3 linked regions of the Caenorhabditis elegans genome follow. The protein of the gene in region 2 interacts with the protein of the main gene of each other region in a pairwise test. Each region holds a gene or a part of one and is shown on either strand. Other genes may lie near its edges.

Region 1 (7,957 bases), on a different chromosome or scaffold from region 2:
CTCTTCTTCATCAACCGCTTCAATTTGAGTTTCTCCTTTTCTTTCATCTATACTTCTTTTCTTCCATTTCGTATTCATTTATTGAGAGAGCTCACCCGCACCCTTCTCCTCTCCTGCATCCTTGTCGGGTTTCCGCTTTCATCATCTTCGCCGCCTTATTCTGGAAAACAGATTCATTATGCATATCATCTTTCGGAGTCAGTCAGCTTTTCATCTGCTTTCACGGATGGCTGTCGTGAAGTCGCAAAAATAATAAAATGTGCAATTGCCCTGAAAAACACGAAAAGTCGAGAAAAAAAAGCCATCGGAAAACATGTGTGTTTCTGTTTTCTGGTTCATTTTGATACGCAAGATGTAGTGTATTAGTGAATAAAATGTTCTGTCTTGTTTTTTAAAGCATTTTTCTTAGTATCTTCTAGAAAGGTATAAAATCGTTTAAAAGTGGCGCATGACTAAATATCATACACAGTTGAACTTTTTAAAACTTTTTTTTGTTGAATTTTTTCATTTTTACAAACGTGTGTATTCAGTTTTTGTTACTTTTTTGGACGTTGTCAATCAAAAAAAAAATTCAAATTTTAATATTAAAACTCTGTGGGGATTTGAAAACGCGACAGTGCTAATTTTTCATTTTAAAAAATGCAAAAACTCAGTATTTGCCACTTTTTGACAGTCAGCAAAAACCTTTGAAAATTTTTGAAATATTTTACAAAGATATTTAGTTATTTTAGCACCATAGGAGTAGTTTTCACCAATCTCCCTACCGCGCTACTTTAACATTTGTGCCAAAGGTGCGCGGCAAATGCAGGCTGGCAATTCTACAAAATGAGCCAGTCTGGCATGTTCCCCGAAGTAGTTTTTTTTTAAATAAAAATTTAGTTACAAAAAATGGAAAATTAATTTTTTATCTGAAAATAACTTGTTCTCTATTTGAAACAATTGAAAAAGTGCTCAAAAATTGTCTGAAAGTTTGAAATTGCCGAAAAATATACGTGCATGTATTAAAAACTTCCATATCATAATTTCTCACGCACCTCATGTTTCTTTGGATTTAAAAAGAGAGATTCAATATCACCGAGAGAGCAGGAATATTTGCATAACCCACTTTTGCTCACCGTCGTCTGCCACTGACCACTTGCTCCGCCGGCGACCCACTTCTTGGCGGGGCAAAGGAGCGCGGAATTGAGAAAAGATGGGAGGGGGAAAAAATCATTTGGCGCACACTTTCGTGCCCCTCTTTGACGTCCCCCATTCCAATCCACGTTTTTCACGCCATCGACCCGTCGTCCGGTCGAGCAGGTGTCCAGTGGACCCCATGACGAATTGCGGCGGACCACAATTCTATTCTCCCTGGTAGACTTTCCCATCCCATCACACTTTTCTTTGCATTTTTTGCTTCTTTTTTTTTTCTTTTTGGTTATTGTGCCATCTTTCTTCTGAACTTTTTGCTTTTCGGAAAAAGAGGTGATCTTCTCATTTCAACGAACAAACGCACTTTGTAAAGTGCCATAAAGTTTATTGTCCAGCTTCTCGCCCCGCCGACACCTTTGCGAAATTATGGTCAATTCCTGTCACTGGTTCTCACTTTTTTACTTTCCACATTTCCCCACCGTCTGCTTCCCCGCAAAAATCACAGGCTCTTCGAATCTCCCCACCTATTCTTGCGAATTTTATCGGTTCCACTACAAGTGTAACTATTGCTCATTGACAACGTATAGACACAACACGACAGATGTTGTATGACAGGGCCGGGTTTTCCTTCTTCTTCGTCGTCCTCCCGTCCCCCAATCGTTTGCCTCGTTGGTCCATGGGCATAGGTTCGGTCTACAATGGACCTAATGAACGGGTAGTCGAATGTGAGAGGAGGGCGGCCACGAATTGGAATAATTACTTAACCAGGGAAGGGGGCGACGTATAGCCCCGGCTATCCCCTCATATTCCATGCGGTTTCGTTCCGTATCGAGCCGCTTGCATGACATGGACATCCGTCATCGCCGTGCTCTTGACGCGCATTATTTAGGTTATTTATCTGACAATTATGAGCTTTCTGACGACCTTATTGAGTTGAGAGCTTTGATATGTTCTCGAGTACTTTCTTGTCTAGAATAAAGCGTATTGATTTTTCTTATTCGCCCGCCTGTTGCCAGATAGTTTATCTAATCAGTATTATTCAATCGCTGGCACAACATAAATCGATACTTGTCTCACTCCTCTTTGCGCGTTTATCTCCCCGCGCATTGCACACACACCTTGAAGAGGAAATCTGATGTCTAACATTCTGCGTCTACGCCTTCTAGCAATTCGTCTCAACGGTCCTCATTTTAAATGTTCTGCAAATGCATTTGTACTAAATTGTGATTTGTTTCTTTTTGGTTGTTAGAGAAACAATGAAAGCTTTTTGTATGTATAAAAATTTTGAACCATTTGGTGATGTTGAAAATCCGTTTTTCTTTTAATTTCAAGGTATTTTCCTAATTTTGGCCATTTTGCTGTGTTTGAAGTTTTTAATTTCCATGTTCAAATTGTAGCTATAGTTATTTTATTGATACTCTGGCAAAAATCAAATTTCCCAAGTAAAGTAAAACGCCTATATAGACTTGATGAAGTTCTACTTAGATTGAAACTTCAACGGATTCTTACTACAATCTTGCACAACTCCTGCGTAAAATAAAATTTTGCATAGCTTTTCGGGAGTCTTGTGCAGTTTGAAACAACTCCTGCACACTTCCCAATCTGCCACGAACTTAGTACTAAAGATTTTTTATATTTTTTGTCAGAGTAGGTTTCCTTTTTCAAGTTGCCTTTTCACTACACCAAATTTTGATTACGCCTCGCCGCATTTAAGAAAATCCTTTCAAAATCGACTTGTTCATTTTCTTTCATCTTCTATATCCATCCTTCATCCGTCCTTCTGCGCGTCATCTTTAACCAGTCTCACTACGTTTGCCTCCTAACTTTGCGTCCTCATTTTTTTTGTTGCTTGTCTTCCTGCTGGCTACTTTTGCCTCCCGTGCATTTTTTCTTTATTTTTTTTTGTCCAACATCTTCCGTCGCGTAGAAGACTAAATTTGTTCTTCATTCTAGAATGTGGCTCTCTAGTCCAATTTAGGGTCGGCTTCCGTCCGAATCGCTCCACCACCACCACCACCGAAAATGCGCAAAAACGGACGCACAAATCGTCTTCGCGTCTTGAAAACGACGACGACGACGCTCGTCAACTTTTCAATTACTTTGTTGTGTCTTTTCCTTTTTTCCTTCTAAATCTATTCTCCCGAGTGTCACCCTAGCAAAGATGAATGATTACACCCAGGGCCACGCTTTTTTCGCCCTTTTCCATCTTTTTCCCATCACCTATTTTGTCTTGTTTCTCCTTTTATATTCCCTCATTCTCTTTCCGTCATTTTGTCGCCCACTCTTAAAACAACCGCCAATAACTTTGATTACTTTTGTGTTTTTCTTGCAGGTGTCTCCCAACTGGAAATTCAGAACACCGCCACAATTAGATGCAGCCTTTGAAATTGGACACAGATTGAATAAAACAAGATCATGTTCAATCGAAAAACGCTGTTATGCACTATCCTCCTGGTATTGCAAGCAGTAATCCGAAGCTTCTGCGAAGGTTGGTTTTTTTTTTCTAGAAAAAAAATGTTAAGTTAAGAATGTACCAAAAGTGTCAAGTTACATGGTGAAAAAAACGCGTCGCCAACAAGACACGCTATTCGATCCACTCGTGGGTTTTCTTTGAATTCACTTGGAAACTTGGAAAATCCATTAGGTTGGGTTGTATTTCCCATGTCGAAGAAAGCGATTAAAACGAAGATTGACTGAATGCGCGGAAACGAATGCCCTCCATCTTGGAAAAATGCTCTTTACTCGCTGCTTTTTCTACTCTTGCGCTATTAGACATGACTCTTCATTTTGTCAAACACCAAAAGCGGGTTCGCTGCTTGGATTGTGAGCTCGTTTGCCGACTATAGTGTAAAAAGATTCGATTATCGTTTTGGACTGCCATCTGCCCTCTTGGCCGAGCCAAGCCCCGCTTTTGGATGGTAATGTTGAGAAAACAATAGTGAATAGGACGGGGGGAGAATAAATGGTATAGAAAATGAATGAGAGGAGTTAGTCTCATTGAGGCGCGTGTTCTCAAGTATTCACCATTCAAATGCTAATCTCTTAAAACAATAAGTCTTTTTGTACAGCGACCAGAGCCAGTGTAATTTGCAACGAAAATATAAGAAACAGTTGGGAGCGACCACCCGCAGACTCTCGATATTTGTCTTGTTCCACATTTCCACATTTCCACAATGTAATTTGTGCAATGTGCAAGTCATTATTCAATGTGATAAATTGCCCCAACCTGGGTCATTTAAACATTTTAGCACAGTTTTAAGATGCATGCGAATATCCGTAAAATTGAGAATCATTAGCATGCGGTTGATAGAAGATGAGAAGCTATTTGAAATCCCTCCCCAGAGACTAGTAGGTTATTAATGAGCTGTTGGCGCTGTCCAAAATATTCAGTTGCATCTCATGTTTTAGAAAGACAGCCTGCTTTTTAGCAGAAGCTTTCAACACCAATGTGTTGCGAAAGAATGACGGGCGAATTGTGAAATTGGGTGTTGACAGGATGAGATATGTGTACATCTTCACAGCTCTTTGGTTTTGTCTTGCCTATGGATGAAAAGGCGGGCAGGCAGCGTAGTATAATATTTTGAAGGTTAACACGGCCATTAAATTGTAGCCAGAGTACAATACATTGGTTCATGGATAGTTTACTCGCGTGCGCACATTTTGACACTGGCACGCTAGATTGTTGAAAGGTTAAAGAGGTGACAGAAGAGACAGAAGGACAGCCAGGCTAATTAAATTGTTGAATCCGGCAGCTTGTTAGCCACACTTTGGTCTGGTAATTTACTAGTGGAAAACAACAGTGGTCCGTATTTTGAAGTGGAGGAAAACAAGTCGGCCTGCTGAAATTTTTATTAAGTGTGTGCGCAGCAGTGTCAGGGTGAATGCCATAAACAAGTGATTCAAAATGGCTTTTTGATATTTTTTGAAGCAGATGGGAGAAGATGGGTAATCCGTCGGAGGTCAATGGCAATCTTATGTAATAGACCACCGACACCCAATAAACCAGCCGTTAATGTACTATCTAGGTTTTTACCACACTCACACACACACACACACATACATAAATTTTGATAAAATTCCTAGTGAATCATTTTATTACCTACCGTCCGTCAAGGACAATAGTGTCGCACATCTCTACTGAAAAATCGGTGAGGGAAGGTGTTCGTTTCGACACCATAATACAGATGTGACAGTATTGCGCGTGCCGGATCGGTCAGATTGATTTAATGCACTTGGACAAGTTTCCTTTCTTATTCACATTGTCAAGATGGATAAAATCAAAGTGTTGATGTATGTGGAAATAAGATGAATGGGAGATGAGGAAAGTAAAAAAAATTCTAACAGGGGAATGATGTTGTTTTGAACCTTTTCAAATCTTGAATATAATTTCAGATGCCTCAAATCTCGCTCCCGTGATAATCGAACATCCCATCGATGTGGTGGTATCTAGGGGATCGCCAGCAACCCTCAACTGTGGTGCAAAGCCATCTACCGCCAAAATCACATGGTACAAGGATGGACAGCCCGTAATCACGAATAAGGAGCAAGTGAACAGCCACCGGATTGTTCTCGACACGGGATCCCTGTTTCTTCTGAAAGTGAATAGTGGAAAAAACGGAAAAGACAGCGATGCGGGAGCGTACTATTGTGTGGCCAGCAACGAGCACGGAGAAGTGAAGTCGAACGAAGGATCGTTAAAATTGGCGATGCTTCGCGAAGACTTTCGAGTTCGGCCAAGAACAGTTCAGGTAAAGTTTAATACTTTGAATAATATTACGTATTTTTTCACTTAATCCTGCACTTTTCTACTTTGACAGTTTACCTTATAATCTCTATTACTGCGGCATTTCCATGGCTCAACCCTGACAGTTCGTATCTCGGTCAAATTGGATTTTTTGTAAAAATTTTAACTGAGCACAGTTTTGTTAAATTTCTCTGTAAATTTATTGTTTTTGAACTTCTTAATATCTTCAAAAGCATTCGAGACATATGCTGTCAGTTAAACAGTTGGGGTGCCGCACAAATAGAGAATAAAACGGCATATTCTGAGTCAGTTCAAATATGTCACCTCATTTTTTAGTGTTAAACTACAGAAAAAAAAAATTATCACTATTTTGTCAGTTGAAAATTTTTGGTAACCCCGAAAAACCGAAGATTTGGACCATCAATGTTACAAAAAACTTCATTCGTCAGTTTTTCAAAAACTGTAAACCGCACTGCACAATTTGTCAACGCGATTTTTAGACCATTAAAAAATAATTATTCACAGAAGCGTTACTCAATTGTTTTCAGGCTCTTGGTGGAGAGATGGCCGTTCTGGAATGCAGTCCGCCACGTGGATTCCCGGAGCCGGTTGTGAGCTGGCGGAAAGACGACAAAGAGCTCCGAATTCAAGACATGCCACGATACACTCTACACTCTGACGGAAACCTCATCATTGATCCGGTCGATCGAAGCGATTCTGGTACTTATCAGTGTGTTGCCAACAACATGGTCGGAGAACGGGTGTCCAATCCCGCAAGATTGAGTGTCTTTGAGAAACCAAAGTTTGAGGTACGTGTGGAAGCGATAGTCCTTTTAAAATTAATTTAAATTGTAACTCAAGGTCGTTTCAATTTCATTGTTCCGATGAAAATGCTAAATGACTGGTAGATTAACAAAAAAAATGTCGACAGGGGGTTTTGTAACTTCCTGTATTCTATTCTCAATCTTACTAATTCGATGATTAGTATTACTATTCATTTGATGTTGATTTCAGCAAGAACCCAAGGACATGACGGTCGACGTCGGAGCCGCAGTGCTGTTTGATTGTCGTGTGACTGGAGATCCTCAACCACAAATTACGTGGAAACGCAAAAATGAGCCGATGCCAGTTACACGTGCATACATTGCCAAGGATAATCGGGGGTTGAGAATCGAAAGGTAATAAAAGTGGGAGAAAGTCGAGGTGTTATCTCATCTTGCAAAGGATTTAGTTATCTCTTAAGAGACACCGAAGAGACATAATCTAATAACCGTTTTCGGAGATCTAGGTTATATTTTTTATGATCTGAAATACATTGATGAATGATAGTTGTTGGACACCTGTTTGCGAGCCTTTTTATTGAAAAGTTTAGGCATCTAAATGGGAAAGTATTGGATTTACAAAATTTACAAAGCCTATACTTATTGTACTTATTGGAAAACAGTCGCATTATACAAAAAAAATGATTAGGTACCAATAGATTTCGTCCCCCCAAAAAGTTGTTAATGTTTCAGCACTGAAGTGTTTAGTATTTATACGCATATATATTTCATTACTACTTCAATTGTAAAAACTAGAAAATAAAAAACAATACTAAGTTTAAAATCACAAAATGGTCACGTTTCAATTTAAAATAATAAAAAGTTTCAAAATGAAATTTCAATGTAAATTGCGAATCGAGAAAAAACTGAAAAATCAAAGGGAACATTATTTTATAGAATTTAATGAAAATTGAAATAATTTGAGCTTTTCAAATTTCTGAAAAGAAATGCGAATCTTAAATACAATTTCTCATACCCACGTTTTTCAGAGTTCAACCATCAGACGAAGGTGAATACGTTTGCTATGCACGAAATCCAGCGGGAACTCTTGAAGCATCTGCACATCTTCGTGTCCAGGCACCTCCATCCTTCCAGACAAAACCAGCAGACCAGTCAGTTCCAGCTGGAGGCACGGCAACTTTTGAATGCACCTTGGTCGGTCAACCGAGTCCCGCCTATTTTTGGAGCAAGGAAGGCCAACAGGATCTTCTTTTCCCAAGTTATGTGTCCGCTGATGGTAGAACGAAAGTTTCACCAACTG
Region 2 (7,906 bases):
ATAATTTCAGCAATTGCCGAAAATTTCAGAAACCATATATTGCACCCAAGGATGGGTTTACATAAAAATCACATTTGAATTTCGTTCATCGCATGAGTATGTGAGTCAAGCCGAAAAAAAACCAGAATTTATATTTTCAGAATGTGGATTGAAAATTATTTGAATGGTAAACATCTTAAAATTGATTTTCTTAATCAAAAATATGTGGAGTTATAATAAATACACAAGTATCAAAATCGTTTTTTACTTTATGCTGAGAAATAATGTATTGTCATTTTTTAAATGTTTGTTGCATTATTTTTTCTCAAAAGTGTTGTATGGCAATTAATGCAGGTTCCATAATTAGTTGCCACCCTGTATATGCTATGAGATAATTTGTAAAAATAGTTCTGATGGAAATTATCTTTCGTGAAAGTCGATTGTTGTGGGAGCTCAGAAATTTTTGTTGTTAAAATTTCAGACACCGATATGGTTTTTGACATTTTTTTGATTAACATGTTCTTCCCATAACGACTATCATTTTCAAATAGTCGTGATATCCATATTTTCAGATTTTTTTTTCTGATTAGCAGTTTTATTTATTTATATTTATTCATCAAGCAACAATCATAATGATACAATTACAAAAAGCAGTGAAGTGAAGGAAAAAAGAATGAATAAAAAAGCAGTTTTCAAATAGTTTTTTTAAAAAACAATGTTTAAGGTACGGTTAGACATCTGAAATTGGAATTAAAAACAGTGGCAACTATGTGACCCTCATGGGGTCGCTAACTACCCAGGAGGCACGCCTTCTGGGAAGTTAGCGATAGCGCGCGAATACAATCCTAGTCACAGTAAAACAATTGAAGAGGTGACCACGGGACCGCTCTGAATACCAATCGATGTAAATCTTATATTTTGACTGTTTTTGCCTTGTTGCAACGATTGATGCCGCCGTTTTGAATTCAAATTTTTACTGTCGCATCCTTTTTTCATAAGAAAGTCAGGATGATCTGAAAATAGACTCTGACCATTTTTGAGCTTTTTGTTAAATTATCACGATTTCTTGGTTTTCCTTTTGCACATTGTTTCTACATAAATTTTCTCTCACTAATAATATCCTTAACTTTGAGCCGCCATAAAACATTTGTAAGCATTATTGAAAAATCTATGTAGTTATGAAACTCGTTATCTTTGCGTCATTTTTAATATCAAAAAACATCAAAAAATTGTCGGTTACTACCTTTAAAAATTAGTACCACAATGCACCACGTGACAACTTCACTGAACGGGGGTAATAATATTCCAATGATAGTAACTGTCAAGTGTCGATCCCTTTTGTTTTATGATTTCCGCTTGAACGGTCATCGTATACTGTTTGGCTGAAGAGACATGTGGTGGTATAATCCTCTGGGAAATCCAATCTTCACCATGTGTCTCGAGAATATCTCTGATGTTGACTTGTTACTGTAGGATTGAGTGGAATTGATATTATTTTTGATATTAGGGCGATAGCGGTCATTTAGTTCAATTTTTGGTCATTTAGTTCAATTTAGTTCATTTAAAATTTCCTAGGATTTTGTTTTACGGTGTTCCACCGACACTAAAAACTGATTGTTCAGATCAGAGGTGTACGTTAAATTTTTTCGACAATTCTACAAAATGGCCTGATGTGGCATGTTGGTCTGATATTTTTCATTAAAATTTAGTGTCAAAATATAGGATTGATTGATCTGAAAATAATTTTTTAGTTGAAAAAAAATCCTTAAAAGTTGTCTGAAAGGTGAAAATTGCTGGAATAAATCAGACAAATTATTGACACTTTTTTCCAGCAATTGGCAACTTTCATGCAATTTTTAATCATATTTTCACATTTTCAAACTTAAATGAAAATTATTTTCTGATTAATAAATTATTTGTTATATATTTTTGCATTAAATTTTGATCTGTTTTGCCTGTTGAACTAAAATGCTCTAGTTCAGATACAAGTAGTTTCAAAGAATTTGAGAGATTAGATTATAAAGACATCTCAACAACTTCTAGAGCTCACAACAGCATCTATTGAGTTCAATTGAAAAATTCAATTTTGGAGAAGAAAGGATTTAAACAGAATTATCTATATTTGAAGTGTTGCTAACATACTTCTTGTCATCTGTCGCCTGCATCGTTTGCACCTGCCACCATTACCGCCATCTCACGTCGTCGTCTTCTTCATGTCTTCTTTCTTATTTTGCCTGTTGTGTCCCCGGCGGTCTGTCCGGTCCATCAACATCCGTCTGCGCGCGCAGTGACCCTTGCGTTCTCTTTTTACGTCTGCGTCTCTACAGGACACTAGCACTGTCTCATATGACCAGCGGTCTGCTACAACGGCCGTTAGCCTCCCATAACAATTCGCTTGTCTCCCGCTTTCGTACGCTATTCCCGGAGCGGTGCCCACCCCAATGGTTGGGCCCTCTTGAGAGAAATAGTTCGTTTTGGTAGCTCTTCCTTTTCTTCTTCCTTTTCCACGATTTTCGCATTTTCACACCCAACGATTTGTAATGCGTTGTGCAACTAATAATTGAGACTAGATTCATCACATCTTTATTTGCTTATTTTATTTTATGCAGTGAAGACATTTGAATAATGCATACTTCCTGAAAAAGTACGTATTCTAGTGAGAAGATCTAATAACGTTTCGCAATGTTTCGACCTTTTCCATCCTATTTTTAGCTGCTTGAGTATAGAATTTCTTCAAAAATATCAATGAGTCAGTCATTTTAAAACAAACTTTAAAATTTAGTTTTAAAAATTGGCAAGACCATTTTGACCAAAATTTGGCAAGAGATTGTTTAGACTAGGGTCAAATAGAATTAAATTAGCTCAAGCCACATGTTGCCAATTTCCGATTTAAGCCATTTTTTTCCGGATTGTTTGAAATATTTTGTATACCAAACTTGTTCCAAGAAGATGTTAAGCTATATGAAAAGCTTCTAAAATTGTAATGCACTTATTTTTAAATGTTCTGGAAAATTTTGTTTTTTCCATAATAATTAATAATTTTGTCTCGATTTTTTCTTTGATTTTTAAAATCTTATTTAGTGTGATTTTCCATGATTTTCGAGCAATATTTCATCAGAAAATTTAAATCGAAAATCAACTTTTTCTCTCTTTTCAATACGCACTCTATTTTATTTTCTCAAATCTCTTTTTTTGAAAGAAATTTAAAATTCTTTGAAAACTGTCATTTTTTCAGATAAACGGGTTCTCATCTGATCGTCACAATACACACACAGACATTCAGAAGCACATGATTATTTTGAATTCAAGAAGAGTCGTCAAATTCGCATAAAATTCCTCCATCAGTTATGGGCGATTATGATGGAAAAGTGAGTTTTTTCAGTTTCATGGTGGCGGCAGCGGCAACTTGTGAAAAAAGAGGCAGAGATGCCGGCGCCGTAATCCATTGAAGCGATTAATGCGGAAAACGAGTGCAAACTGTACGATTTGATAGAGAAAAGAATACGTTTTTGTTTTTCGAATGTTCCGAGAAATGTCTTTTTCATCAAATTTTTAAATTTCAAATAATTTAATTTTGTTTTGTTAATATTGCCCAGACGCAAAGTTTTGCGATATTTGCAATAAAAATACGGTATTCGGTCTCGATACTACAAATTTTTGATGAGCCTTTAAAGATTACTGTAGTTTAGTTGATTATTGATTTTTTTCTCTATATTTGTTTAAATTTATGTGTTTAACAGTTTTTTTGTTGTAAAATTGTTCCGATGAAAAATTTTTTTATAAATAACAATGAAAATTGATGAAAATTCCGCAAAAACCAAATGCTAGAGATTACAGTATTCTTCAAATAAAATTTTATCGTGTCAAGACCGGGTACCGTATTTTGATACAAAAATCGTTAAATTTCGCCTATGAGTAGTAGAAAAAATTAACACCAAAACAGCAACTAAAAAATTTAATATAACTTTAAAGTTTTGCCAAAATTGAAAAAAAAAATTTCCGAGATCTCTACTCTTTTTCACGACTATAAATCTTGATTAGGTCCAAACTAAAGAAAAATAAATCATAATAATTGATGTATTACGATTACAAACCTTCCCAGACAATTGTTGAAAAGTGTAAAATGAGTTCATCACGTTTTTGAAATATGTTATGAGTCAATTGTTTTGTGTCACTCATTCCGAAATTCGGTGCTCTCCCGGTGCTCCTGCTTCTTCTCACCCATTATTTCCGGATAGATCATGAGATGGAGAGACGCAGATAGCACGATAATAGTGACCGGTTGTGTAAAGTTGTGTGAGAAAAGAAACGAAATAGTGGGAGCTTATCAAGCTCTTCCCTCAATCCTTGAAACAGATGGTACTCTCAAAGAGTGCCTTCTCGATTAGCACCAATCTTACTACTAGTATGTTGTTGTTCGAGACAGGATTATGACCTCGAGAAGCGAGGAAAATGTGAGAGAGAACGAATACCAACAAAAAAATCCGAATAGTGTGTGTGTGTAATGACGGCAGTTTATGGCAATCGGGGAAGACATTGAGAATTGTTGTAGTGCAAAAAATTGGAGGAAAAAGAAAGAAAAAATGAAAGAAAATCTCTTGTGTGCCGGGTTTTCTTTCTTCCTTTTTCGTTTTTTTTCGTGTTGGTTTGCCTTGCAAGTAAACTAGTCAACTTCAAAATACTCTGGTTGAGCTTTTACAAAAAGTTCTCTCAGTCTTTTTTCTTTCAAATACAAATTTTTCTGCCCAATTTTTTCACAAAATAAACAAAAAGAGCCAAACTTTTATAGGTAGTTTTTGAGTACATTGTACTGATTATTTTAATTTAAAATCAATGATTCTAGTTTGTTATCTCTATTTTACAGTTTCATAAAATTTAAAAAAAGTAATGTACAGTGAATGATTTCAAATTTTTCTTTCAGTATTGGCCATACAAAAATGAAAAAATACAAAAAATAAAAAAATTTTATAAAACCTAGATTTCCGTTTGACATTTTCTTTTTTATTCCAAGTTTTAGTGCAAGTTCAGCGAAAATTCGCCCCCTGCGACTTCACCATTTAGAATTCGAAAATTTCAAAATTTGGTGCCCGCTTCTTGCCCAGAAGTTGGCAAAGCTTAGATTGATTTAGACTGCGCCCAAATCCAGCCCAAACTTGATCCAACTTTTGACAAACTCTAACCCAAGTTTAAAACCACACAAGAAAAGTTGGGCGCACCCTAACCAAGTATAAGTTTTGCCCAATTTTTGGTCCAAAATTAGACAAGAAGCTAGCCCTAAAAATCGAGTTAGTGATCGCAGAACTGTTATCTCTGACTCTCTGCTTTTCCTCCAAATCAACAGTCATTTTCCATTGCCGGGGGCCGCGAACAGCGCACTAACCATTCCGTCCGTCCGTCCCAATACACGAAAAAGTCGATTAGCAGATTGAACTTGGTGATAAACTGCAGTGCAATGTGACCAGCCCCTTTTCGTTCCACTCGACTCCCCCCCTATTCCACTCTTCGGTGTTGTGTTGCCTGCGTCTCAACGCTCTCTCCCTCTATCTCACCCGTTTCCTCTGGTGGTGAATTGAATTTCGAATGGTCCTTCTTTTACGACAAACACTGATATTTTTTGGAGCCACTGCGAGCTTTTTTTGGTTTTCTAAGATTTTGGTTTCATGTTCCCGGACATTTTGAACTTTCAAAAATAATCTCAAAAACTCTATGAAAACTTTTGATTTTAAACAATTCGAAAAAATTCCAGATGACGATGAAAGCAGAAGACATTCTGCATGTTCTTCGTGACGGCATTGCAGTACTTCCTGGAGGACGATGTAGAGCCGGACAAGCAGTTATCGTATGTCCATCACGAGAGCAACCTGTCAATCAGGATAATTTACGCAATGTCTTTCTGTATTTATTTGAAGTTACTTCGTAAGTTTTTTATTTGACTGAAATGGAACAACCACACTGTGAAAAAACAAAATTTATAAAAAGATATTTCAAAAAATTTATTTCCATTTTTCAATTCAATTACTTAACAATAAGCCTAGCCTAAGCCCACAAAACACAAATTTCAAAAAAACCAAACAAAAAATTGAATTTGCAGGAAGATGGCACGCGAAAAGGGATTCCTTGTGGTAATTGATATGCGTGGAAAACAAACATGGACCAATGTTCGACACATTCTGAAAGCTCTCAGTGTATGGTTTTTTTTTCGTTTAAAAAATATGGATTCCTACAAAAACAACAAAAAACTATATACACTTATAACAGCCAAAAATAGCGGAATATCCTTTAAAAACTTAGACTAAAACCCTCTAAAATTATTCAAAATTTTCAAAATTTTTAGTCACGGTTTGTGTACGTTGCCAAATTTTAAAAATATTTTGGAACACAAATATAATTTTTTTCAACCATAGAAATTTTTTTTCTGTCGACTTCCAAAAATATTGTATGTGAAAATTGAATTTTCATAGCTTTTTTACTGTAAATTTGTTTGAAAATTTTTCCTGATTTTTGGAAAGTTTAACACTAGGAGCACAATTTTTAAAACAACTTTCCAACTATATCAAATGTTAATTTTCAGAGTATTGAAAGCTCATCAACAGTACAAGTGTTCATCATCAAGCCCGAAAAATTCTGGGAGAAACAAAAAGCACAAATGTCCCTTGGAACGTGGGATTTTGAAGTTGAAATGATCTCATTCGAATCGCTTATCAAAATAATCGACTCGTCACATTTACCGAAAACCGTCGGCGGAAGCTATCCATATGATCATGATGAATGGCTTGAGCTCAGGTTGGATCTCGAGAAATGGATCTGGAATATCACTGAAATTATGGAAAAGCTCGAGTCTGTACGTCGAGAAATTTGCGAAGGCGAGCAGCCTGTCGATGTGACAACTGCCAACGCTGCGCTGAAAAAGAGCCAACACGCAAAGAATAGTATATTTAATGTTCCGGTGGAAGGAATTGAGACAGAAGGGAATAAAGTGAGTTTTTGTTTTCTTTTTAATTATATTCAAAAATTTGAAAATAATTTAAAAATTCTATGAATGTTTAATACCTGACCGCAGGTGAAAATTCCTTAATTTTCTTTTAGTCATGTTAACTTTGCAGATTGCAACTCGAATATTAAAACCGTCGAAGGGTGTCAAAAACCCGGACCTTGAAGCGACAACCCCATATATTTCAAATTTGACCGATTCGCTCAGGTTGCTCAAGTAAGTTTTTTTTCTGTGTAAAATTTAAAAGTTAAAACAAAATTAAAACTAATATTAAAAATAAATCTTGAAAAAAAAAAATTTTAGCTGAAAAAAAGCAATCAAAAATGTATATTTTGTCGCCATTGGAAAACTGCCACCTACAGTACCCCAAATATGATTTTCCTGATTTTTGAATAACTACTTTCAGTATTAATCATTGAAGATGGAGTAAAAATTACATAATTTTTCGAAAATTTTTATGATTTTTTCAAGATTTCAAAAAAATTTGAAGAAAAGCCAATCAACATGAAAAATCAAAAATTTTAAAAATAGGTAATTTATCTGCGCGAGAATTCAAAAATAATTTGGCCCTTTCTAATTTTTTTTGCAAACTTAAAAAATAATCATTAAAAATTTATTTTAAAAAATCTATAATTTTTTTACAGTTATATTTAGTATATTTTTAGTTTTCGTATTCTCGAAAATTGACATATGCCGAATTATCTAGTCACACACGGGCTATGAATTCAGTTTCTTTTTTTCCAAATATTAATTCAGCCAATTTGACAAACCCCTAATTTTTCAGAGGCGAAGTAGCCAAGAATTGGGAAGTTCGACAGATGGAACTTTCAAAAGTGTACCAGCAGAAACAATTTGAACGTGACGCAGAACATATGATTGAGACGCTTCGGCCGTACAAAAAAGCCTGTGAACGTAGTATGGGTGATGTTGGTGGTT
Region 3 (8,065 bases), on a different chromosome or scaffold from region 2:
CTTGGCGTCCCTGAAGATCATAATCTCATCCCTTTTTTGTGTGACCACCATGAGCGGGTTGAGGTATCGAATACTAATTAACAGGAAAATGGAAAATAGAGAACTGGCCAGTTTTTCAAAGTTTTTGTTCGCAAGTTATCCGTCAAATTACTATTGGCTTTATATCCTGACATTTTTGAGTTCTGAATTGTTTATTAATACTCAGTTTTCTATTGCTCAAAAGTTTTAGAAAGCATTGCAAATATTTTTCTAGAGCGGCAATGCATAAACCCTGAAAAGTTTCAAATTTAGTATATTACCAAAAGGGAATCATTCCAATGGACGAGCTCCTCACACTATAACTCAATTTTGTTGCCTCACTGCGTTGGTTCGTTTTGAATTCTTGAGTTCCAAATTTAGAGTTCACTATTGAGAAATGTGATTAACCACCACATGGATCATCATCATCATGGTGGTTTCCATCTTTTCCTTATTAGCCACAATCATGCATTGAAACCCAAAACTAACATTATTGTTTCTGTTTGATTATAGACTATTCGCCTTTTCTTCTCTGAATTGACATAAAATTCATCATTTTTAGATCCAAGATTTGCAAGCTCTAATTGTCTAATTCGTTATCTAATTTGTTACTACCCATAAAAATTTTCTGACTACAATCGAATCATTTGATAAGAATCTTAACTGCTGGATCCTTATGCTGCTCAGAATCTCGAAATTACTTGGCACATTAATGCGCCCTCTTAATTTCTATGTCTCTCGATTTCTCGAACTCTTCTCGTAGACTGCGTGACAGTCAATTGGCACATATGTCATGAAATATAGTGATTTTTGACGACGAGAGGAGGGTGGCCACGGGAGGATGCAGGATTAGATGGCTCAGTGTCAAATTACTACATTCAAACCGAAGAGGAAGTCCGAACAAGAGATTAGATGTTTTCAAATATTACTTCGATGTTCACTCTCTATTATTAGAGCACTCTGCGATGTTTTAGACCGTTTTGAAACTGGTATTGCGAAAACTTTCGAAATTGCTCTAAAAGGGCAACTTTCATAATGGAATCTTTTTTTTTAAATTCAAATTTTTGGAAAAAAAACCTAAAGTAAAAAATTATCAAAATTTGAATGAAGTGTAGTAATTGAACAGAAGTTTTAGTTTTCCTTCAAAATTGTTGAACCTCATGAATTTTTTAGATGCCTCATTATGACCGTACATTTTGAATGTTTTAGAGCAATACGACAATTGTCTGAATCTATAATTTTGTTTCCGCAGGTGTTTTGTATTTCTATAACCTATATTTTTAGAGGAACATAATTGCTCATAGAGTTACCCTTTACAATTAGGAAGCACTATAGTATTTGGACCTTCCAATCCTTTTTGCTCATTTCCCTAATCAAGTCTTCGCCCTCCTTCTTCCTCCTCCCACCCATTTTGTGTCCACTCGTTCTTTACTCAAACATTTGTACAATTCCTCCTTTCCCGGGGCAGCTGATTGCGCCATAGTTGTCCTCTCAGTTGTCCCGTGGACACGTCCCACGTCCCGTTTCTCACTCTATTGCATTAAGGGACCATTGGAATTGGGCCAAAAGACATATGTGTCTATCTCTCTTTCTTCAAGACTCCACCCTTCTAAAGAAGATGTGGATAGAAAGAAGAAAAGGAAACCAACTCTTTCTATACATTTTACTCATCTTTTCTATTTTCTTTTCTTTCATGTGTTGCGTAAAGATGAACGGAGACTCCGCCCACTTTTTTCGGTTTTCTTATTTTTAGTGTTGTTGTTGTTTTTGTTGTGTCACTCTTGATATGTGGCTTGTACCTACAGTCTTGTAAGTTATAATCTCAAACTTTGACCTTAAAACTCCAAAAAGTTTCAAAGATTCTACCAGTGACCGGATGTTTGAAAAAAGAAGGAAATGTGCTCAACAGATGTGATCACTTCCTTTGGATTCTCCAGATGACTGAATTTTGTATTTTCTTATGTTTCCATTAGATTTAATTTTTAAAAAATGTATACCTGTTTAGTTTCCCGAACCACGAGAAATAATGCAAAATGATTTTTTCATCTATAAGAGCTCTTGTTTTCCTAGTTTCTGGTCATTTGTTTTAACGGTTTTTTTGCCTGACATGATAGATAAAATTTCATAGTTGTTTATTTGTTTGAAAATATCAATTTTCGCAATGAATAATCTAAAAATTAGTATCTCCTGGAGTATACTTACAGTAATCACTATTTTTCTATGATACCCGTTCCTCACCTGATACATCCAACTGTAGTTTCTGTGTTTTACTCTTTTATTAAATTTTGTTTCAAAAAAATGTGTTGCACTATTTTTCTATTCTTTCCCCTGTTTCACGCCCATCACTCGTCTCAAAAATCTTTTCACTACTTTTCTTCTCAACTCAATTCATTCCTAGGGGAGGTCAAATTACCACTATTCTTTCTTCTCACTTTCAATTTCGATTTGCTTTCTTTTCAGAAAATTACTGATATTTTTGAAAAAAAAATTATGATTATTAGTTTTAGTCTTTTTTAGTTGACAGTTTTTGATAGAATTTTTCATGTTATACATTTCTGTTTTTCGATACCAAAAATGTTTACCTAAACTGTCTAGACTTTTGAATTGGGAAATGTGCAATTCACAGATCGACAATAATTCTTTTATAAATACCAGGCGGTTTGTTCACGTGGTACTTTAATGACTTTTGGAACTTGACCCCGTCCAGGGACATAAAACCAAAACTATATTTAAATATCCAAAAGGCAAGACCTTATAATATTCACTCTACCCATTTGCTTTAATTCAAAAAAAAAAGTTCCCACAATGAATGGGTTTGTACGTATCGTTCATCCCCATCGCCAGGGCGTCAGAGAGTTCTCCATTTTCCGATGCAGTGTTGACTCACTTTTTGGCGGGAAATGGTCTTCTTTTCAAATGTTCCCTTTTTGGTACTTTTTGGTGGAAAACTGATGATATCATTTACTCTATTGTCAGACTGTTTCGTAGAATTTTTATGTTTTTTTTGGTTTCCGGTGGTTTTAAAGAATGTCAATTGCACATACGAAGTAACATTTCAACGAGCTGAAAATTCTTCGCGAAAGAGTAAATTTACTACTTCTTTCAATTTTTCTTTCACTTGTATATCTCATCTTATTGAGTAATTATTTGGAGCGTTGTACTACAGTTTAAGCAGAAAAGAGAAGATTTATAGAGCTTTATCATAATTTTTTGTGTAATCAGTTGTGGTCTGTTTCACAATTTTCAAAAAGTTGGCTCCGTGCCAGCAACACTTTCCGTTTTCCCACATTCCACCTCATTTTACTCAATAGGTGTTCGTCGGTAACATGAAAAGACTCATCTACCTCTTTTGATTATTTATGCAGACACGCTTATATGGGCACACACATACACACTTTGATGATAACGGTTTGTCCGTCTTTTATCAGGACTGACCCTTTCCTCCCTCGCAAATTTTTCCCGCGACATTCTTTTTGCTTTTTCTTTGGTTTTTTCTTTGATTTCCGTTGCCCGTTCCTTCCCGAATTGCGGATTAGAATGAATATTTTCAGACCTTATGAATGGAGGCATGCAGCAGTAAGACCTCGCTGCTTCTTCATTCGCCGTTGCGAACGATTCCGAAAGTAAGCTTTTTGTTGAATTATTTGTTTGCTAATTTTTTGGCAAACATTTCTAGTATTCACAGATTGAGATTAACACATTTTTCAGCTTCGACTATGTGCCAGTATAAGCAGTGAAGATGTTGCACATGGTCGGTGCAGTCTCACTGATCAACACTTGCAAATCGAAGGAAAGAACTATTCGAAAACGACATTTGATCATATCTTTAGAACAGATGCTACACAGGATGATATGTATACGGCATTTCTATCGGATACAATAAATTCAGTATTCGCTGGAAATGATGCAACAGTTTTAGCAATGGGAGCTAAAACTAATGGTGAGTAATTATTTTGGAGAGTAACGTTTTCAAATTTGAAGAACTTATACAATTTTCAATTTTTCCTCCATTTCTAATGGAGATACTATTTACGATTACATTAAGAATGTTTTTGAAACTCATCGAATACTAGAAATGTTCAGGAAAAGACGAACGTCTCTACGGGAACAGCGTTTCAAGAAACGGGTTGGTTCAAATGGCCATCACTCAATTAATGAATGCCCTTGATGATAACAAGTAGGTTTCAATGTTCTATATTTCCATTAAATTTCCTATTTCCAGAGATTCGGAAGAACGAATACAAGTTCGAATGTCTGCAATTATGGTGTCACAAAATGAATCTTCAATAGTCGATTTGTTAAGTCCATTCAATCCAGATCCACGTCACCGAGTGGTTAAAATAGTGGATGATGCTCGAACAGGAGTATTTATCGATAATGAGAGTGAAATTCGTGTCGAGACCATTGATCAGGCATTATTTTATTTGAATACTGCAGTGGATCATCGAATGATTCGTGAGTTGAAACATGATCTAAATGTCTTATACACAAGTTTCAGAAGACGAGCATACCCATCGAACAAGCCACGTGTTCATATCACTAAGCTTGTATTCGTATAAAATGGGTGACAAAATGCAAGGAGGACGTCGTCGACTTTGTTTCTTGGATATGGGAATTGGTGAGAGAAATTCAACAAATGGAGGAATGACAATGCCAGCATTAGGGAGTATTCTTTTGGCAATGGTTCAAAGAAATAAACATATTCCATCAAGGTGAGTATTTTGAAGAAATATTTTTTTAAAAAATTGGTCTGCAAATCAAAAGTGTACCTGGAGAAATCTGGAAATACAGCGTTCATAAAACCCTGAATATTCAATTAAAGTAGGAGGACTCGTGAGAATTTTGTTACAATCTACTCACTTTTATTATTTATTACCAAAAAACACAGTTTTGGTGAATTTTAATTTTTCGAGAAAAGTTTAGAGCAATGTGAGAAACAATTGATTTAAAAATCCTAGAAGTTAATCACCAGTCACTGTTTCATCCCCATATTTAAATGGAGCGTTCTAATTTGGCGTCACGTCTGCCTTGTAGGCACTCAAGTAGTCAATTTTTACTAGCTTCTAGTATAAGGAAGATCCATCAGAGTTTCACACATATTCTGCGGTCCTCCCCCAATTTTGTTCATTATGCCCTCTACTTCATCTCAATCAACCTTCATTTACCGGCGGAAAGATTAAGAGAAGATTGTCTAGTCACCCATTTATTTATTACCACTTTTTATTGAACCAGTTGTCGATGGATCGTTATTTGCGCGCGCGGAAGAAGTAGGAGGTGTGTAGGAGAGGGGCGCCGCGCTCTTCCAACATGGATCCTTCAGGACACATCAAAGAGAAGAGCCGCCCACGAGCCACACGAGGGATTAGATGAATTGGTGTCTTTTTTTATTTCACTGTTGAGAGATGGTACCTCCTGATGTTTTTGGTAGAGACAGGAAGAGGCGGTGAAGTGATGACATTTTCAATGAAAAAAAGAGAAAGCAGGGGAAGGGGAATGATGAATATAAAAATCGGGGGATTGTAAGAGTAATGAGAACAGGAAGGTGGACAATGAAAAAAAAAAACATCTCAATTGTTTTATTGCAAGTAGTTGTAATATTTCAACTCGAAAAGTTTAAATATTCAAAATTTGTCCAACTTTTTGCATAAGAAATGACCAATTAATCAATCCATATGCTTTTGTCGGTGAATCTTGCGTTTCCGGTCACCGCCTTCAAAAGTTGCTTGGGCATGCTCCCTTGGGAACGAAATGAATTTTATTTTTCTTTTGACTATCCTCCTTTTCCTTCTTTTTGAATTCTTCGTACCGAGAGAATAAATAACAAATTGCTGCCGCTTCTGCAGAAATAGAGCAGTGGTTCTTAGGGAATTGAAAGTTTGACAAGTGTTAGAATGTGTCAAAGTAGAAGATGTTAAAATGAAATTTTTCCTTTTTTACAGGGACTCGTCAGTGTGTCAACTCATCCGATGTGCATTGAGTACGTCAAGATTCACGACGTTCGTTTTTTCATTTGGTGCCAAGAGTGACGATAACGAGAACATTGCACATTTGGCTTGTAAAATCGCAAGGACTCGAGCAAAGAGTATGGTTGGACATGGAAGGAAGTCATCAGGGGTGAGTTTGAAAACATCAGTTCAGATAATTTATTACTGCTCGCATAATAAAGGTTTTTGAAAACTATTTTAAATTTAAGAATGGCAATATTTCAAAAATACAACAATTCTGAGAATTTATCCAAAAGCTTGACATTTGACAACTGTTTGCCAACTTACCGAAAATTTCACTGCAAATTTCAAAAGTATACAAGTTTTTGGAACATTGTATTCTTTCGTATTTTGAAGAAAATATTCCTACTACTAGTTAAATATTCTTACAATATTCCTACATTTTATTTTCTCTCACGGCACTCTCAAAAAATTCCTAGCGCTCAGTATTTGATCTGGTTGAATTTGGGGAAGTACTGTGCAAAGATATTTTTTTAATAGAAAACTACGATTTTGTAGGCTACTTTTTATCATTCTTTGACCTTTTTCCTCGGTCTCACTTTACGGTAAAATCCGGTCCACCTCTAGCATAACCTAAATATTAATATCGCTGCCGCAAACATAATACCATAATCGAAATTTGATCCTCTTTGTATGAATTCTTGTATATTGTATATTTACAAAGAAAAAACAACCGGCACTTCTTCCGCATTTTTTCTTCATTTTTAACATTCAGATATTTTTTTTTATTTAAAAAAATTGAAATTCTAATTTCAGACAATGTCAACTGGAACAATGGAATCAAATTCTTCATCATGTGGAACAACTACAATCACACCGGGAGGCACTCCTAGAACACAACGAAGATTTGAATTAGAATCCGGATCAGAGCTAAGTGCAGCTGAAACTGTGATATTCTTGGGTCCGAATTCCTCAAGAACAGCATCACCAGCTTCCACAACAAGTGAGTTTGAAAAAATCTTCGGGATGTGGGTAAAGAAGATTAATCGACTGAGATCTGATTTACGAGCCGCCCGCATTTTTTTTACGCTCGTTCGCATCGATATCTTCTCCCATCATTATCATCGTTAGTTTACGGAAGCCACCACTTCAAGGAATATAGTTTTCTTTTTTCAAGATTTTTGAAAATTTCGCGGCCAGTTTCACATTTGGGATTTTTCTTAACACTTGTACATTAAAATTAATTAAAATGTTTTTGTTAAACGATTTTTTAAGCACTATACCCCCGCGTTTAAGATTTTTCATATATATTGATGTCTATATAACCCATTTCTGATAATAGATGTTTGATAATTTAAGTATTTTTACGAAATAACCAAAATTGAAAGTATATCACAAGCAAGCAGAAGACCGATTTAATGTATTCATTATTTCAGATATATTTTCGATTGTTTTGGAATTTCTGAAAATAAGGTCACATGTTTTTGATTAAGTGCGAAAATCCTACCTTCTAACTTAAATATTTACACCGACATGGTGCTAATTGTTCGGTTTCTTTGGCATTTGTTTAATTACTGGTTAATCAAGTATTTTAGATTTGTAAGTAGTTTCTCATAGGTTTAACCAAGGGCCACTGAAAAATAAAAAAAAAGTGACACGAGGAAACCATGATCAATCATTTCTCATTTCTCAGTTCTTCTTGTTTCTCGGTGAGAAGCTCTTGGCGTGGAGCAAGAAGACACCCGGTTGTCACATATTTTTGTTACCCTCTTTCATTTCATTCGACATTGTTTCCGTTTTTCTTTAGAAGAAACATTTTAATTAAGGTTTTGAGGTTATTTGGACAGTTTTTTGAATAATTTAAGTGGTGGTACGCTTTTTTACAAACCCTGTAGTCATTTTTTTACAAACCCTGTAGTCATTTTATTTACAAACCCTGTAGTCATTTTGTTTTAAATTGCGGTCGGTCATAATACTCAGCCATAGTAGTAATGATGTAAGCTAGAAAAAACTACGAGCATAAAATTTTTTCAACATATTTTGTCAGTTAACAAACTTTTGATAAATCCAAAGATAGTATAAGCTGCCAACATTGATGATAT

The links. The genes of interacting proteins can lie anywhere in the genome.
Region 1: the proteins of unc-73 (region 2) and sax-3 interact in a two-hybrid assay, tested with the Caenorhabditis elegans proteins (one study listed by BioGRID).
Region 3: the proteins of unc-73 (region 2) and vab-8 interact in a two-hybrid assay, tested with the Caenorhabditis elegans proteins (one study listed by BioGRID).

What each region holds. Positions count from the first base shown.
Region 1 is NC_003284.9:3,461,432-3,469,388, reverse strand, and holds the start of sax-3 (Protein sax-3), read left to right. Parts: upstream 1-3,461; 5' UTR 3,462-3,503; coding exon of another isoform or gene 3,504-3,533; 5' UTR 3,534-3,546; coding exon 3,547-3,619; intron 3,620-5,523; coding exon 5,524-5,879; intron 5,880-6,423; coding exon 6,424-6,684; intron 6,685-6,889; coding exon 6,890-7,053; intron 7,054-7,685; coding exon 7,686-7,957. UniProt on the Caenorhabditis elegans protein: Required to confine migrating sex myoblasts to the ventral muscle quadrants during their migration through the body and for multiple aspects of sensory, motor, and interneuron axon guidance.
Region 2 is NC_003279.8:4,027,048-4,034,953, reverse strand, and holds the start of unc-73 (CRAL-TRIO domain-containing protein), read left to right. Parts: upstream 1-3,214; 5' UTR 3,215-3,326; coding exon 3,327-3,347; intron 3,348-5,725; coding exon 5,726-5,895; intron 5,896-6,070; coding exon 6,071-6,164; intron 6,165-6,550; coding exon 6,551-6,955; intron 6,956-7,082; coding exon 7,083-7,186; intron 7,187-7,754; coding exon 7,755-7,906.
Region 3 is NC_003283.11:12,209,758-12,217,822, forward strand, and holds the start of vab-8 (Kinesin-like protein vab-8), read left to right. Parts: upstream 1-3,569; 5' UTR 3,570-3,578; coding exon 3,579-3,641; intron 3,642-3,726; coding exon 3,727-3,958; intron 3,959-4,101; coding exon 4,102-4,195; intron 4,196-4,240; coding exon 4,241-4,473; intron 4,474-4,516; coding exon 4,517-4,730; intron 4,731-5,046; exon of another isoform or gene 5,047-5,159; intron 5,160-5,220; exon of another isoform or gene 5,221-5,364; intron 5,365-5,957; coding exon 5,958-6,132; intron 6,133-6,779; coding exon 6,780-6,966; intron 6,967-8,065.